Neodiprion lecontei: one gene and its partner. The protein of the gene in region 1 interacts with the protein of each later gene in a pairwise test. Links are inferred from orthologs where the notes say so. Each region holds a gene or a part of one and is shown in the gene's direction. Other genes may lie near its edges. The genes, in order: protein trachealess and aryl hydrocarbon receptor nuclear translocator homolog.

What was found.
Region 2: the proteins of protein trachealess (region 1) and aryl hydrocarbon receptor nuclear translocator homolog interact in a two-hybrid assay, tested with the Drosophila melanogaster proteins (3 studies listed by BioGRID). The link is inferred for Neodiprion lecontei from reciprocal best matches to the Drosophila melanogaster genes trh and tgo.

What each region holds. Positions count from the first base shown.
Region 1 is NC_060263.1:30,859,269-30,868,227, reverse strand, and holds the start of protein trachealess, read left to right. Parts: upstream 1-3,324; 5' UTR 3,325-3,697; coding exon 3,698-3,969; intron 3,970-8,959. Other genes in the region: uncharacterized protein LOC124294103, read right to left, coding at 1-638, 712-796. UniProt on the Drosophila melanogaster protein: Transcription factor, master regulator of tracheal cell fates in the embryo, necessary for the development of the salivary gland duct, Malpighian tubules and the posterior spiracles.
Region 2 is NC_060262.1:22,117,757-22,126,716, reverse strand, and holds the start of aryl hydrocarbon receptor nuclear translocator homolog, read left to right. Parts: upstream 1-4,320; 5' UTR 4,321-4,697; coding exon 4,698-4,981; intron 4,982-8,960. UniProt on the Drosophila melanogaster protein: Heterodimers of tgo/trh are involved in the control of breathless expression. Plays a role in the cellular or tissue response to oxygen deprivation.

The sequences.
Region 1 (8,959 bases):
TTGAATACTTGCTGCGAGAAGTGACACCAGCCAACAAAATCCGAAGGAATCATTAACAACTTCTGACACGTACGCTGCCTTCAAGTAAAGGGACTGCAACCGCGTCAAGTCGTTTACATTGCAGTTTCCAGTCCTCTGCCAAGTCTCTAGCAATCCGTTGATCGTGTTTAGAGCCACGGAGGGTACAGTGACGAATTCCAAAGCTAAGGTCTCACAGTACATGGTTAAGAATTTTGAGCAGTACCATGCAATTTCCATGAAATCATTGTTCACGGGAAAGGGCAATCCGATCAGATACGCGACGGTCCATACGATCGTTAGTTGAAACGAAATTGGACGCTGTTTCGGGGGAGACAAGCAGCCAAGTTCTTCGTTGAGCTCATGCGTCAGATTGAGACACCGTAACGTTGCCGAGGCAAAAATTAATCGGTCCACAGTCAACCACAACAGAAGCGCCAAGTGACTAGCGTGGATTATCAATTGGCTGCAGTTTTTAAGGGACGAACATTCGTGTCGTGAGCCAAACGCTTCGGGAAGATAAAATCCCACGATGTACGATAGGGTGGTGAGGGTTAAAAGGATATTGACTACTTGCAGTATCGTACCCAGAACGCTTCGGTGATAAACATTCTCGCCGGCTAGACAATAGAAAATGATTATTATTCCCTCCCTATGCGAGTTGATAATCTATTAAGTTTTACAAGTGCGCACCTGATTTCCAAAATGGACAGTAGCCAAAAATAAATGCCAAAATTTGAGACGGCTGAAGTATATTCTTCATAGAAATCCTCGGCATGACGAACCAACTGCTCGACGTAAACAGAGGGCGGTTTTTCTAATGTCTGTGGAGCAGCGTTATTTGCCTGTCACCTTTGCACGCACGCGATGATATACGATATTGGTCACGCGCCGACAATGCCAAGTGAGCACAGGTACTTATTGTTAGTGTTCGATATTGCAGGTACTGTTCCAACAACCCTTGAAATATACAAATGAATCGGATTACAGGAATAAAAGCGCACGTTTTTAGGTTCGAAAAAAATTCAAATCAGAGAATGATAACCGAAAGAACGAAATTTGAAAGCTCGAAAAAACGCTTCGCGCACCGATGGAACGACGCAGGAACACGTGCAGACATGTTGCATACGCAAAATCGGGTTTCGGTTAGCAGAATGTATATCGGTGATACGCAGAGGGTTTCTCTCAAATCTTGGGGGAAGAGTAAAGGTTTCCCGAGGATCGCTGAGAGGCCCGGCAGCGAGCTGAGGCTTGTTAATATTGCGGCGCTGTTCTCCTTGTAAATTACAAAAGTTTACCATCCTCTTCACGTAATCCCCTCATAGCGTTCCTCCCCGCCTCACCCCTCTCCTCGCCACCTCTCACCCCCTCGCCTCTCTTCTCCTCTCGTCTCGCGACGCCAAGCCGTGCCAACTCACGAGGCCCGGACACCCCCGCCCCGACTATACATGCAGATATTCGACGCCGACGCCGGGCGTCCCTTGGTTGGTATTCAGGACCGGTGACCAAACAGCGTCGGACTACGCTTCGTGCCCGGCCGATTGAAACATCCTCGCTTACGACGAACGTGGACAAACGCGGACACGCTCAACGCCGAGCGATTCCGCGAAGAATCACGTTCTATCCGTCTAATCTGTGCACTTAGCCACCCCTTACCATAACCTCGCCCAACACCGGCCTGCAGGACGTTATTATTTTCAACGACACCCCGAAGGCTCGGATGCAGTGCCGTTATTACAGCTGTACGATCCGCTCGGTCATCATTTTACGACCACGTCCTCACCACGGGCTGTTCGAAAATCTAAAACATTTCACTGGGTCAGATGGGCCGTATATTATAGTTAGGACATCTGCGCCGGGAAACTACCTCCTTGATATAAAAGGATCGCATCTCGAGCACCTCATTCAGTGAAGATGCGCCAGTTTGTCAGATTTAATAATAATCGCTGCAGTGCGTATCTTGTCGAATTAATTGCAAAGAAGATTCGCACGTGCTGGTCTAGTCATGTCGAAACTCGTAACCGTTACCGTTTGTTCGGGAGTGCAGGCAGCGATTTAACCGGAAGTGCAAGCCTGGTTCGATGCGGAGCGTTAAGATGCTACCCGAGAGATACTGCAGTCCCGAAGCTTGCACGCGCTAATGGGCAAAGTTTAACGGTCTAATTTGTAATTTACGACTAACCAGGACGAAGTCGGCGTCAGCCTCGCGGAGGACGGCGGGGTTTTAACATTCGCAAATGAGTGAAGACGCCGGGAATTATTTTTATTCGGACGACCCCCCGGTGACGGATCGGTGTGGCAAATGGGCCGCGTCGCGGGCTCAACGACTCCTGCGGGGTTGCCCCCTTCCACCCTGATGGCAGCTTACTTCGAGTCCGTCGAGCGGGGTATTTCTTGCCGAGCTTTTCCCTCTCGGCAAGGGTTGCCAGTAGGAGGCTGTAAATTACCAAGAGGGCATTTTGATTAAATTTTTTATTGTACCTACCGGCGGAGAGGGTAGGAGGGCTGATTTAACGACGCCGGAGCGTCTCGAAACATTTTCTGTTCGCGTTTAGCAAATTTTTTAATTAGGGATTATACTCGTTGAAACGACCCGAAGACGCGCGATGCGCGGGGGGGTCACATCTCTCCAATTCGTAATTCCCGGTGAAGTATTATTCCGAATAAAATCTCAGCCGCGCAACTTTTCTTTTCTTTTTTCTTCTTTTCATTTCCCTCTCTTCGGCACGCGTTCCGCGCTTCAATTACCCATCGGTATTATACACATCGTACACCTTGGTCCATACTGTCCGGTACGCCGACGGTGAATCGATTCGACGTGACCCTGCTCTCAATAGCGCGTTGCGCGTTGTTCCCAACAGCGTGTATCCATTAGACATACGAGTACATTGAACAGCCTCGCGACACACACGGCGAATGTCGAAGAAATCGATTCGAAACGATCAAAGGCGATTCTCTTTTCACGAGAACACAATGTCGTCGCCGATCGAGCACGCAGCCTCCGCGATGGTGAACCGGAAGCCCATCAGCAGCGCGTTGACGCGACAAAATCGCACACAACGGCCGCCGGGCTCAACAAGTGTTCGAAGTCGCGGGGAACGCGGCCGCCCCTCGGTCGTCGGACGTCGCGACGCCGGGGCCCGCGGGTGTCGCCGCGGCGAGGCGTCGCGGGGCGGGGGCGGGGGCGGGGCGCCAGGCTCGTGGGGACGTCACGTGGCCGCGAAGCTCGGAGGCCCCGCCTCCGCGGCGGCGCGAGGTCCACGCCGCGTCATTCATGGCCGAGCCGAAGGCTGCGCCACTCTCCGGGTCGTCCGTCCGGCTCCGTAATCGCGCGAGCACCTGTCCTCTCGCGTCTCGATCCTCGCCCGGCCGCGTCAAGTGCCGCGCTCGCTTTACGTTAGTCCGCGCGTTTTCCGAGGCGACCGCAACCCCGGCGCGAAACCCGGAGGTCCGAAGAGGTCGCGACCAAGCTATGTGGTGACAAGAGTGAACCGGGGTCGGCCGATAAAGTGCGCAGTGGAGCTTGGGGGGTAACGAGCAGTGGTTCGTAAGGCGTGCCAGAGTGATCGGTATATTACGTGATACCAACCCCCTACCCCGTATAGTATATTTTATAGTGCGGTCGCGGGTGAAACGCCACAGTGAGAGATAAGATTCGTCAGTTGTGGAGGGGTGGCTGATGCACCGCGGCGGCGGCGGCGGTAACGGCCCGGCTACCGCCGGTCCTCGCGGCCTCGATCTGGAACATCCCCCGATGCCGGGGGCGGCTGGTTTCCCATGGGGGGCCATGCTCGCCGGGCATCATCATCACGCCGCTGCGGCGGCCGCAGGCATGATGCAGCCGCCGCTATCCGCCGCCGGTGACTACAATCCGGCCGGTGCTCATCACGGGGGTGCCCACCCCGCGATGCCGATGGACCTTCACGTACCCCAGGCGTTTCCCTACTACAGGTAGGCCTCGATTTTCAACTTCCCATTCACCGATTCTTTCCTACCCGACGGCGAATATTCGATACCAGAGATACAGAGACTTACGGAATTTACTAGCAGAGCACTTCTAATTGTTCTTCGTACTGCGATGCAAACTCTTTTACTAACACGGTTAACGTGACTCACATGGCCGATCCAAGACCGCGACAGATGCAAGAACCGCGTGTATCGCGTCGTTAAAATCTATTACCTACTCCCATCCCGGTATATATGGCGTGTAACACATGTTCTCTGATGTAATGCTCCAGGTGACAATCGCCATCCTACTTTGAGTTGAACGCATTTTTTGTTACTGTCGTGCCGTTCGGTGTGTAGCGTTTCCGATGTACTACGAAAAGTTTGAGGTCAAACGATGGTCCGAACGGCCGTGGCACAGGGTTGTTGCCTCAGAGTGTCCGTGACGGGAGTTGCGAAAGCGTTTCTTCTCATCCACGATTCCATTTTTGCCCCAATTTCGCTGACGGAACGTGATAAAATAAAATACAACAAAAAATGACTTCCACTTATTTTCTAGTTGACCGTGACACACGCTCCGGTTTCAGGCGTCGACCTCAGTTCTTGTCAACAGATTTGATCTAGGTTCTTGCGACGCTGACAGGAATAATAGGCAAACTTATTCACAGCTCTCCGACGGGCATGCAGACAAAATAATACAAAGAATTGCAGTTACCTTTCGGTTCTTCTCCACATATAATAGGCGATGCGCTCTGCAATGAGTTTGGTCGAATCTCTGGTGCTCGTGACCCGAAGTCACTTCTTGTCACCACTTTCACGCCGCGAGTCATCCAGAGCGAAACTGAAGCAAAGTGTTAGGTACAGTGTCTCCGAGGTGGTACAAGTTGAGGGACGATTAAGTGGTCAATCGGTTGCGTTAGAACGACGCGGGCGTTTCGGGCACGTGTGTTTTCGCCGCAGGTAGACGACGAGGGGAAAGTGTTGTTGAGGAGGCGGCCTACGCGAGATGACAAACCGGGCAGGAGCCGTTTAATGAATATAATAAATGGCAAGTAGCGGAGTTCCAGGTAGCCGCTTCCGCCGCATCCCGGCAAGAAACGCATTATCATTCTCGACTCGCACGGATCATTAGCATTTCGCTATCAATTACGTCCAGCGCCGGCGAGTCTGTCGCGCGGCGTTCATCCGTCCCCTGAATTACTTGGGGTCCCGTTTGCGGAACGCCCGACCGGGGGTCCTGGGTCTGATCGCTCCAGGGACGCATCTTCTACGGCTGCACCCACGTCGTCGGGCGGAATGCGTATGGGTGTAATAAGGCGTGAATGCGTTAGCGTGTGAGCCGCGCGAGTGCGACGCTGACTGCCACTTGTTGCAGCCCGTGGTCTAAACACCCTCGTCACCGACCGAGTGCCTCACTCTCTCTATCTCTCTCTCAGCTCTGTCTCTCTCTCTCTCTCTCTCTCTTCCTCTCCCGGGTTTTCTCGTTACTGCCCTCGTCATCCCGGAGAGTCTCACTATACTAATCCCGGCGGAACCGACGGCTCCATACGTAGTCCAGACCAATATCCGTTTTCCGGACCCCGCTGGGTCCGATGCGCTCCTCGAGCACCCGGCTGACACGCGATCCTGCGTAGTTTACGAACCTGCCGCGAGCACTACCAATTCATAGACAAGCTGCTTCTGGCCGCCCACGATTCAACCGATCTGATAGGGGGGCCTGTTTTTGCCCTTCGCACGGGCCACGGTAACTTGTTTTCGAATTCGTTCTCGATATTAGGCATTGCGCCACCGGAACGCGCGAAAATCAATTGAAATGCGATTATTTTCAACGAGGAAAAGATGGAGCGGCTCAGGAAAAAATTTAGTATAACTTTTAAGAGTTGCTTCAATATGGAAAACTAGTTATAATCCACTGTCGTGAATCGACATTTTTTTGACAGTCCAACGACAGCGCAAGTACTGTTACAAGTAATCATTTTTCCGCGTAGTACTGATTACAATGTTGAAAACATACTCCTGGAATTATCCGTAGATTTTATTCTGAATGTATGTAGAAGGCATTGCAAAATATGAATTCTTGTCCTGGTAAAAGTGGTAAAAAGAGGGTAATCCCTGAAATGAAACCTCCAACTTTCTCCAACTAAAGAAAATGCGTGCTTTATGCCAGAAAATTCGATACCATAGATTATTTACTGTGTTCAACAGAGCCGATCAGATCACGAGTACCTACTCGTTCTACTTTTTGAGTGATCTATAAAAACTGCATACAGTCGCGATGAGTTTCTCGCGGATCGATTAATTTTTGATAACCGTGCTATGAGAATAAAAATACCACTGTTCAAATATTTGAAATATTGCCCGTTGAGCAACGTTGAAAAGGACGTCAATCATTGACGGAGACACGAGGTCCGTGACTCAAATTTAGAAATTTCCAGTGCTGAAACTGTAATTTATGTTCCTTGCAAGTAATATCCATATTGTACATATGTTGCAAGGTGATAACCGTGATTCGCACGGTTACAAATTGGTGATCACCTTCGCGACGATGAGGTACAAGCAAGTAATCGATACCGTAAAGAATAATTCTTTATCTCGTTAAACTTGGGTCCGAAAATAAACCGAGTCAAAGTATCGTTCAATGGAGTCTGACAGCGGTAAAATTGACCCGAAAGGTCGGGGGTCGTAATCTCATCTGCCCACGCCTCCGTACGGCACGAAGCGAGGACTCTTTTACCGAACTGCTTCGCTCCGGATGATATTACATTTCACGAGTTCCACTTGTGCCAGTCGCCGATGTTTTCTCGTTGCGCTTTACTGAGCCGCCAGACTTTATATCAAGTCGCTTATTACAGACTTTGGAGCTATACACGCGGTCGATCCGACCGTATCTAAAGTATGTAAGAAATCACTGCGGGTAAATAGTTCTCAGGTATAATGCGATATTATTACAGACGGTGTTCAATTGCAGTCGGCATTTCAATAAAAACTGTTTCTATTCAAGTCAGCTGGCTTTTTTTGCCCAAGTCCACGTTGCTAAACAACTGTATATGCATGTATTCCGTTGGTATTTATTCACCTTTTCTCGCTAAAAGAAATATCATAGGCATGGATATAAAACGGGCGTCTAAATATTGCCTTGAACTGAAACGATTTTTACAATCAGTACCGTATATTGGGATCAAATTTACTCCAAGGTTGCTGAGATCATTTGGAATTTTTCTAATATATATATATATATATGTATGTATATATGTTGTAACTATCTACCTGTTTGATGGAATTTACAATCCCGAAAAAACATCGCACGCGTTCGGTATTATTATCATTGTTATTATTATTAATAATGGAAGTAAGCGAACGGTGAAAAAATCGGGCCACACGAACGCAGTTGGACGGTTTTTAACCGTCGGGGGTTCTTCGACGAGATTTCGCCGATCTCCGACGTCGGTGAAGGAAAAAGTGCGACAGCGCACACGGCGCAGATAACTCAGGTGGTTGCATCGTCCGGTGCAGCATGAGCGGTATTCGCCGTTGCCGTTCGGAGAGTCTTCGGCGTTCCGCGCCGTTTTCTCGTCTCGTTGACAGTGACAGACTTTGTCGGGGATCCGGCGGTATGACCGGGATCCGGGCAGATCAACGTTATTGAATGATGGCTCCCGGGGCTAAATGGGACCGGACGTACCGATATAATAAGATCATAAGAAACAAGTGCGGCGGATCAAGGCTGTCGTCGGAGCCACCCGACGGGCCGAGAGTCGACGCATTCTTCCTGCAGGACGAGAGCTGCGTCGAGGTGAATCTGCCGGGTGGCGCGGGGTCCTTCCGATAAATAACTACCTCCGTTTTTACGGGATACGCAAGCCTCGGTGCCGTCGCGTCGGCAGGCTCGACGAATGGGAACGCGTTGGCGAACCCTGAGCGCAAAGTATCATCCCCCAACCCTCGACTGTCGCTGGGTTGCGGCGGAACGGACGGTAGTTGCAGGGATGGGCCTGTTTTTTTTATTTATTTATTTATTTTTTCCTCTTTTTCACCCGCTATCGCGCGGCGTATCGCACACGGCGATCCTCGACCGCAATCAGAATTGATTATAGCCTGCCGAAACCTCGGCCGCGTCCGTATTATACAACTTATACGCCCGCGGGCCCCGGGACGAACGGCTCCTCGTAAGGCCCACCGCCGCTTATTTCGACTGGGCTTGCATCGAGACGCTCGTCTTCTTCGCGACGGCTTCCGTCGTAGCTGACCGACGGAATTATCCAGCTCTTGATTCGTCTTCCGCGATATCCAGAGACCCGAGGCATGCGACTCGGGTCTGAAGTCGAGTCGTCGACCATTCGATCAGGAAACGGTTCTGATGAGTAGATTATCGAGATAATAGGTGTCTTTCGCGGGATCCATGTACTGACAGTTTTTACATCATGCTTTAAGAGTTTTTTTCTCTCCTTGCCAATTGACGTCAGATTTCTAATCTTCTCCTACACGTGGCTCGGATCGACAGTCTGTGAACCGGGTGACCTCGTGACGGCATTGCCTGCAGCTAAAATTCGTACGGTATAACGAAGGGCAGAGGTAAAACGGAATTCGGTCGGAGGTAGTGAAAGTCTTTCTCCTAAAATTTCGCTTCGAAACTACCAACTTCCGGATTTTTAGAGTTTGGAAAAGTAATTCTTCGGAGATATGCCGTTCGACGGGAAATACTGTAGGGCACTGTATATCGAGTTCAGATATTTTATGAATACACCCGTATCACCGATGCCTCTGTAAATACAGAATTTAACTGCAAAATTTTTGTATACTACGCTCAAACTAGCTATTACCATTTTTCTAAATTACTCTGAAACATCTAAATTTACAGATTTTATTCCGGGCTTCACGGAAATTTTAGAATCATTTATTCGGTTTCATAAAAAAAATTTACCAGTACAGTCGATTTTAATGCTGATTGGAGATATTTCACTGCGTTTTGAACGAGTCTTAGACTTGAAACAATTCT
Region 2 (8,960 bases), on another chromosome or scaffold:
CTACCTAGCTGTCTGTAAATCAAGCTCCACGAATCGTAATATCACTAAATCTCAATCTCTAATTAAAAATCCACTTACTTTATTACTCTGCCTTTTTACGTGAATTGTATGTATTGAAATGTTTGCTTTTCATTTATATCCATGGATGCATATGGAAACGCTACATATGTAATAGCAAAAATATGTTATACATGCATAAATTTTTGTAAAGTATGCATATTGCACTTGCTTGTCAATACCAGCAAAATGTCGCGCTGCGACGACATCGTCGTGCAACAGCTGAAAAATGAAGCCAAAAAATGGCATTGTCGATATCGGTAACGGCTAACTAAATTACTTAGTCAGATCAAGTCAGATATCTCCGACATGTCGAAGATGGCACATTCCTGAAAAGGAGATAGCCGTAGGGAAGAATAAGAAGACATAGAACGTAGTGCATACTCCTTACACTAATGTTGTAGAGCTTGTCAATTCAGTTCAGTAGGTTCAGTGGACTCTTGACTAGTCGGATTAGTATACTCACACCACGGTCTCTACTGACCACGTTAAATATCATTCATTCTAACTATTATTATCCAAGCCTACGCATCACTGATGTGATAATACCGCAGTTAGCGCAATTCGACATATTTCGATGCCAAATACAAATACCCGAAAAAAGGTTGGTTTTTCGCAACAATAACGATAAAAAATGTATTCCTGCTGTCGAATTACTTTTTGTTGCAAAAATACATTCCCTAGTGTCACTCTCGCATAAGACAAAAGCGTATTTGGACATTTTTTTGATATTGCCCGTAAAATTGTGCTGGAAGATCATTCCAAAGTTTGCAAATTAATCAGAATGCTTGGATGGTGGGAAATGTGAAAAATGAAATTATAACATAATTTCGACCATGACAGCGGCGTTTCCACATCAGTGCCGCATAGATTTCGATATTAGTCAACATAAGTACCTTTCAAGGCCGAAGTACATAGAATTCCATAAGCCATAATCAGGTTGCAAAAGCCATAACAAGATGTTGCTACAGCTTCTGCAATCTGCTTACGGCTTCTGGAAAAGGATCCATAGGTATGGGTATGATCCACAACGGAAAGGCAAGAAAAAGTGAGCATGGAGATACTAATCGTGATATTTTCAGGCATTTCAATCGGTTCTGGTCCTCCATTTTGAAATCTCGAAACGCCATCTATAGGCAAGAACATGTATCATCAGTCTTAGGGCCGTATTTCGACACGTCTACGACTATCTTCTTGCTTAATTTCGTGAGTCTAGTCTATGCCGTGTCCGCCAGGAAAAAAGAAAATTACAAAATGGCGTAACCCCTCGTTGTAAACACCCAGTTTTGACGACGTACGAGAATAAGCGTCACCGTATTATAACGCACAGTCTGTTATTGTGTCAAAATGGTGTAAAACAAATAATACAACCTGAATGTTTACTATTCAGATGTCTGCTATCACCCATTCTATGCCAGGTAACGATAAACAGTTAATAATATTAACGCAACGTTAGTATACTGTACATACTACATACCTGCATACACGCCAGATCCAAAGTCAGTTTGTTGTTCATTCTCGATAAAACTCAATCGTTATTTTCCTCGTTGTTCCGTGAAGTGTTTTAACCAATAATCAGCCTCTCGCACCAGAGCGAATCTCCATTACAGTGATGAATAATTCCAAAATTTTTGTGCGGGTTAAACGTCATCCGTAGCTTTGAAAATTCTCTCTAATAATAACAACCATTCATCTTTAATCGGTTCATCTCTAACCTCATCACATTTTTCAGGGACTGACCCAAGCAAGATAATAGAAAAACGCAGAGCTGGCAGTATAGGGTGAGTACTAATAACAATCTTAAAAATCTATCTCGCATTAATCCTGCCCCCGTGTACAAGACATCGGTAGACTCGCGTGCGATCTGCGGTCCAACAATCTTGAAAAGTTCCGATATCAGCTGCGTTGATTAATTTCTTGGAAAAGTCAATGGCAATTGGTAAACCAATTATACTTTTGTCAGATTCAATCAACTCAAACGAGGAATTGTTAACAACATATCGCGTCCGATTTATCTGGTCTACTCGGATTCTAATAGACCGCAGTTTCTCGTATCTCGTTACCGACCGAGCGAATAGCACAGAAACCTCTGTTACCTTTTTATGCGATCTAATTCGCACAGCGTACCAAGAGATGAAGAAAAAAATTTTTGTGCACAAAAAATAAATTCATCAAACGTCGAATCGAGATCGGAAGCGGGGCCGCATATTCTCCGATATTGTTGTAATGATGTATAGTCCCGAGGTGTGAACCAGGCGGTAAAAAAACGAGGCAACGTCTTGCCGAGGCATTATTCACGGTACGTTGTTTTTTCTAAATCCCTATCCTTTTCGCTCCTCTGGACCAAACTGTCGTTCCAAGAAGAAGAAAAGGAAGAAAGATCGGCAGAAGTACTGGAGGAGGAAAGTAAGGAGACCCCGTTAACCGTGGTACATGTACAGCATGCAGGCAAGTGAGGAACGTAGAGAAGATCAGTTACGGTTAGACCGCACGTTGCCCTCCCCCCTTATTGTCCCCGGCGAGTTAACGTTTTCGGGAAAGCAGCTCGGACAAAAGGAGTTCGAGTCGTTTTATGACTCGCCGACAGGCTAGGTAGGCTTCTTAATTCTCAAACGGTACACGGAACTTGAGTTGTCCGCGAGAGGCGGGAGTCAAAATATGGCCGGTAACTCCCTCCTCTTCACTTACTCCCGACGTGCTTCATACTTGAGCGTTGAAGAATTTTTCCTAATCGTCAGGAAGATTTGCTTCTTCTGGGTAACGCGGCATAATCTCCCATTTTTTACGGTTATTTCGAAACCTCGGAATCCGTAAAGGCATTTTTTCCCTAATCTGCACATATGTGCTTGCTAGAAGACGTGTTTGGATTCCAAGTTGTAGGTGGATATATGTGAATAATGTTTATCGTCATTTTTATTACATTATATCGTCATATGTCGGCGACTCATCAGAGAAAACCGAGAACTGGGAATTTGAAAAATGGTCGGGCAAGTCAGAGAAAAGATGGGGAATTGTTGGGTTGGGTAGAAAATTTTGTGGCAGGTACGGAAGAAGAAAGAATAAACTTTCCAATTTTTTTTTAGTTAGAATCTAGTTTAGGTAGATGGTTACGAAGTTAAAAATTTTAGACAGGGACAAATCATAACTTCATCGAGGAAAGTTAGGAAAAGTCGTGACATTGGTGACTTATGAATTGATTATCACAGGTATTGGTTTTTTGAACACAAGTTTAATATTGCAACGGAAAATTATTGACAGTTATTCGCAACTAAAAATCTTAAAAATCTTTGAACTTGAGTCTTACGTTTTAATCTCGAAAGACAAAACTTAAAAAATTGGGTGAAATCGAAGAGCCAGCGTAACCCACGAACCAGCCAACGCAGTTCTTACGATGTTTTTCAATTCATTGCAAGTCGTCCAGGCGAGCGAGTATGATTTAATTCTCAAAATTCTGATCAATCAAGCTTGATGAAAACGTCAATTCATTGCTACTGCAGAGGTTTGATAATATTATACGTGGCTGAAGTCAGTAACGTTAACGTAACGAAACGTATAAGAAAAAAATCATTATCGTGCAATTTCCTAATGACTTTCAAGAGATGACTTTTCGAAATACATGACTACGTTTTATTTATCCTGGATCGATGAAATGTCAGACAATCATAAAGGTGCGAAGTAACGATTTTCCCTAAACATTCATCCTTACACCGCAACGTTACCGAATTCATCCTCGTCTTCTTATTTCTTAAGGGGTGAATGACTACCGAGTCATTTGTAAGTTGACTTAATGCTGAATATCGAATCAAGCTACTACAGTCGTTTTTTGATCGTAATATCAGTTGTAGCGACAATTTGTACCATCGATCAAGCTCATTGGAAATTTCAATAACATCGAGTATGCTCAACGGCAACGCCTCGTTGTCCGTGAGGTGTCTCTTTACATTGACACGATCACGCTCGCCTTATCGCGTCGGTCAAGTGAGTCCAAGAAATCGAATAAAAGCTTCGTTTTTCGCTTACACATAAGCATTATAAGATCCGAAGATGGACTCGTCGAAGGAACGGGGAACAGCCGAGGTCCTCCTCTCCTTAGACTCGGAGGAGGCAGTCAGTACAGGACGACACCCGCACACGGGATATAGACTGAGTAGTAACTGCACGCGGCGGTTTAATGGTGGGAGAAGTGATAGTCTTTACCGGAGCACCACCAGCGCACATAATGCTCCCGGTATGGTGGAAGAATCAGCACCAGTCAGTTGGATCGAGTTGTGGGTGGTGTGCAGTGCGGGTTACCACAACTTCTCCCGGTTAACCGTCGTTGGAACCGATATTCGAATCGCGGATCGGCACTGTCATTATCAGCGCGAACCCCGCGGATGCGGTGTGCAAGGTGCTGTTGTGTTTTGTGTGCTGTGTTACTCGTTCATCAATGAAGCTTGTGCCGCCCGGACCATCGTCGGATGATAATAATGTGATAACAGTCCTCGGGTTCAAGGCCAAAAAGCGAATCAGATCTACAGGAGGTGCGAGATAAGAATCGAGGGGAGAAAACAGCCGCTCCTGAAGACTTTGTCCGATATCCATCCATCCATTCTTACCCCCCACCACCAATAAAGATAGATTACCCTGGCATCGACGGAATGTACGGAGGCAGTGGATCCGCCGGGGGTGGCGCGGGCTATGCCGTCGGACTTCATCAGGGTTCTGGAAACGCTCCGGTTTCCGGTTCCTACGCCGGGGTTTCGGCCCCGATCGGCTACCAGCTGGGCCCCAATTCTGGAGCTCCAGTATCCGGTGGACACTCCGGGTCTACCCCCGGTTCTCAGCTGCTTTCGTACCCTCAGGGTAACGCCGCCTTGTCGCCGCACCATATACACCAGATGCAAGGTACACCGTCCGATGCCTCGCAGACTAAGAGGAGAAGGTAAACTTCACCGAAACATGTCCAATGAACGCTTATCATTCAGGGTGCCACGGATCGAAGTGGCGCCGGTAATTGCGAATATCATGATTTAATCGGTTTATGGAATGGCATGTGGAAAGTATAGGAAAAGCTGTTTAAAGAAGAACCTCGTGAAAGAGAAACATATCGTACTATAGAAAACACTCGTGTTAAAATTTATGAAAATTGCCAGCTGTGGACTACTATAAATATATATATATATTTTTTTTTTTTTTGTGAATTTGGAAATTCAATACCAGATAGTATTGGATTGACACCCAACTATATACTTTGAAAAAGTCCACTCTGCGTTTTTCTTACAGAACGCAAGATTGCCAATCTACTTGAAAATCTGGAATGGTGAAAAATTTTCGTTTTACCTGGAAATGTTGACATTTGAAACTTAAATTTTCATATCGTTTCATATATTACGGTTTTAGCGAATATTTTTATATATCCGTGATTTAGTTCCGAATTAAAATCTTGGGTATACGAGTGCAGTACAAAGACTTTGAATGAAATGTAATTTGTAGCGATAGATTACATTTTTTGTTCGGTACTTTAAATCTCATCGTGTCGAAGAATGTCTGATTTAAACGTAGGTGAACAGAGTTGCCTCCTCATTCTGCCCTATTTCCTTCTTCTTTACATGGTAAAAGGTATTAATTTTGACCACGGATATTTATTGTTTACACTCTTACCGTTAAAAAAGTCAAAATTTTCGCCGCCAAATCACTCATTTAACGATATAAGGCGGCATCGTCAAGAAGACGCGAATTCTATGGGCGCCACAGCAGAGAGGAATATTATTGAAATGAATACATTTGCAAACATCAAAAACAGCTGAACGACGCTTGTCAATTTAGTTGCTCATCCTAAAAATGTCATTAACTATTTCAATTTTCATGATGATTGTGCACAAATCACAATAAAGCCTCACTTTTTAGCTTCAAAATGAAATGTCTGCTTTGTTGTTCCGGTTTGATAATGTTTGTCAATAAAATTCAAAACCTTCATAAAACACACGATGTGTGATCTGTTTCTTTTCTTTTTTTTTTTAGCGAGATCTACTTTTCAGAATTATGTTCATTATGTTCAACATATATCTACCGAGATTAGTTCTCACATCAGATCCTGTGTTGAAATAATCAGAATTTCCATATTTTTTCTTCCCATTATTTCGTCGGTGACTTGACTTTTATACTTGAAGATATGTAATCGTCAGTTTTAAAATACTTGAACCACCACCCGAAGTGCAGATGCAGCTGCTCTTTTTCTCATTTTTCTAGGGAATTGAAACTGGGTATTCGGGGTATTAGACAAAAATCAGAGAAAATAAAAACTATAAGATTGTTAAAAACTTCGACAAATCATTCGGGGCATTCGATCATATACTGAAAGGAAAATTTGTACAGACAATTCTAAGACAGCATATAACATATCCCGTGGCTACTTTAAAACTCGCAATAAATGCATTTAATCGTAAAATATCGCGAAATTCAATGTATGCACCTATGTATTTCCGCATGGTAAAAATCGCGGTAAAACAAGCGCTTTTATATCTTACTTTTAAGGATCAAGCACTACTGTCCGAAAATTCAGTATCAAATTATCAGAAAAGATGTTATTAAAACTGAATTTCACAAAGCGATATGTGTTTTCTCTTCAACTCGTTACAGATTTCTATTAGAGGAGCACGTCTTATTGTAGCATATCGATCAATTGCAATTCGTTAATCTCTTCGAAATGAAAAAAATCTATTAACAATTGCGTCACCAGACCATTTTTATTCTGTGATTCGCTCTACTGAAATAGCCAAGCATAGGTTTACTGTTAATAGATTATATTTCTTCCCTTTCCGTTCTTAAGTTATTTTTTTTTTTTTTTAATTTCCTGCAGTTTAATTCACATCATTCTTCATCAAATATTCGCTGAAACGTTTTCTGGAAAACCAGGGAAAACGAAGAATTTTTTAATGGAAAAAAAATTCGAAATCCCTAATCAAAACAAGAAAAACTGGAAAAACACGTTCTCTTCATTCTGTAAAAATCACGCGCATAAAAAAGAAAAGAAAAGCATAAAAATACGGGCAGTGTTGGTACACACAAGGTTTACAGGATTGTGCAATGCAACTTCCTCGCGGTATAATATCACATTTAAACATCGTAATCTTTCACTTTTCTATATCACGCCGATTATATACGTATAGTAATTATTTTTCTTCTTCTGTTTTTTGTTTTAAATCAATTTCTACTTATTATTATTTACTTTATTATTCTCGTTCTTTTTTCCATTCCATAATTCTTCTTTTTCTCCTCGTGTCGGTTTCGAGACGGTGAAATCGCTTCGTGCATTATTATACAATGTGTATACACAGGCATTTGTATGCGTATATCTAATCGGTATTTAGGCTATTATACCCGCAGTTGCACATGCATACCGTAACGCCTGTTTTACACTAGTATTACACGTATGGCCGGTTGCTCCGTCGCGATGAACAACGCTCGTAACATTAGAAACTGGCATTTTTATGGTCTCAGCGGATATAGTAAAAGTACCGCCGCATCTTCACCTATCAAAGGAAACGATCTCGTATCATTTTTTTGAGTGCACTAATTCTACGATTATTATTTTCATATATATGTATATATATATATATATATATATATATATATATATATATATATATGATTTCTAGGTAGTTGCAGTCGGGCAAGTTCATTCATAATACGTAACGATTTTACATTTAAATGAAAGCCTGAATTTTCCTGAAAATGTTATAAAAAATATCGAAACGTATAATGAGAATACAAAGAGAAATGTTCGGTTATAAATCGCGATCTTGTGTTACGTCGCGTATCAGGTAGTCGGTTCCAGTATATATAACAACTCGCGACTCGTGTTTAATATACCAAATATACGTATAATTGTTGCTGCACGATCAGCTGAAATTTTGAGTAACAACGAGTGTAAACACACTGCCATATACGACCTCTTGCAGTTACACCTTGACCATTTCAGTCAAAATGACGACTTACAGCTCTGATGAAATTAACTCTTCATTCGTTTTGTGTTAATTTTTAACAATATTTTTTTTTCACTCAAATTAAGGAGATGTTTGAAATACCGCGGACAATTATTGCTGTACAAAAAAAAAAAAAAAAGATTTTATAATTCAATTTGATAACTTTGATGAAAAAAAATTATTTTTTATTACGAAAGGATCATGAAAAAATCAATGGCGAGCGGTAAAATTATAGCGCGGTAATTTGAAATATAATTCCTGTACCTAAATGTTAACATATAGTTGTTATTGCACGGTACATATGTTACAAACCGATCCGATGTACACGCAAACTTGGTTGATCACGTCACGTAATAGAGATTTGTGGTCATTGGCTGGTTAATTCCCACGGTGTACATACATTATACTCATATATGCATTCGTATTTACGGATATAATAGAAACATGAAACATATATGTATAATATTTGTAGCACACATTGTACCAGCTTATATCTTTCTATATTTTCTAACAAAATATGAGAGACTTACCGTGGCTTCAAACTACTGAAATAAGTTTTTGTGTTCGGGTATAAATGAGTGGAAGCACGATGTTCCGCGTAAAAGAAAGACCGGTGGTAGGACTCGTTTGGGGGTTTCATAACATTGCGTTGTTAACAGAGCGTTTCAAAACATTGCGTTTCACAAGATTCTGCAGTTACACCCGCTCAAGAAGTTTCACCTCAACATCCAGCCATAATTGTCCCGATAATTGATCTAAAATATGTACACGCGAAAAATTCAGTTGCTAAATTTCTGTATACTGTATAGTATTGTTAAAAACTGAATAATAATACGAAAGAACGTGGGTGGCAGTAGTGGTTGAAAAACAAAGAAATAAGAAATCGTTACAGTCGCATATGCACGGATATTAAACTTCCCCAGTATTAATACGTAT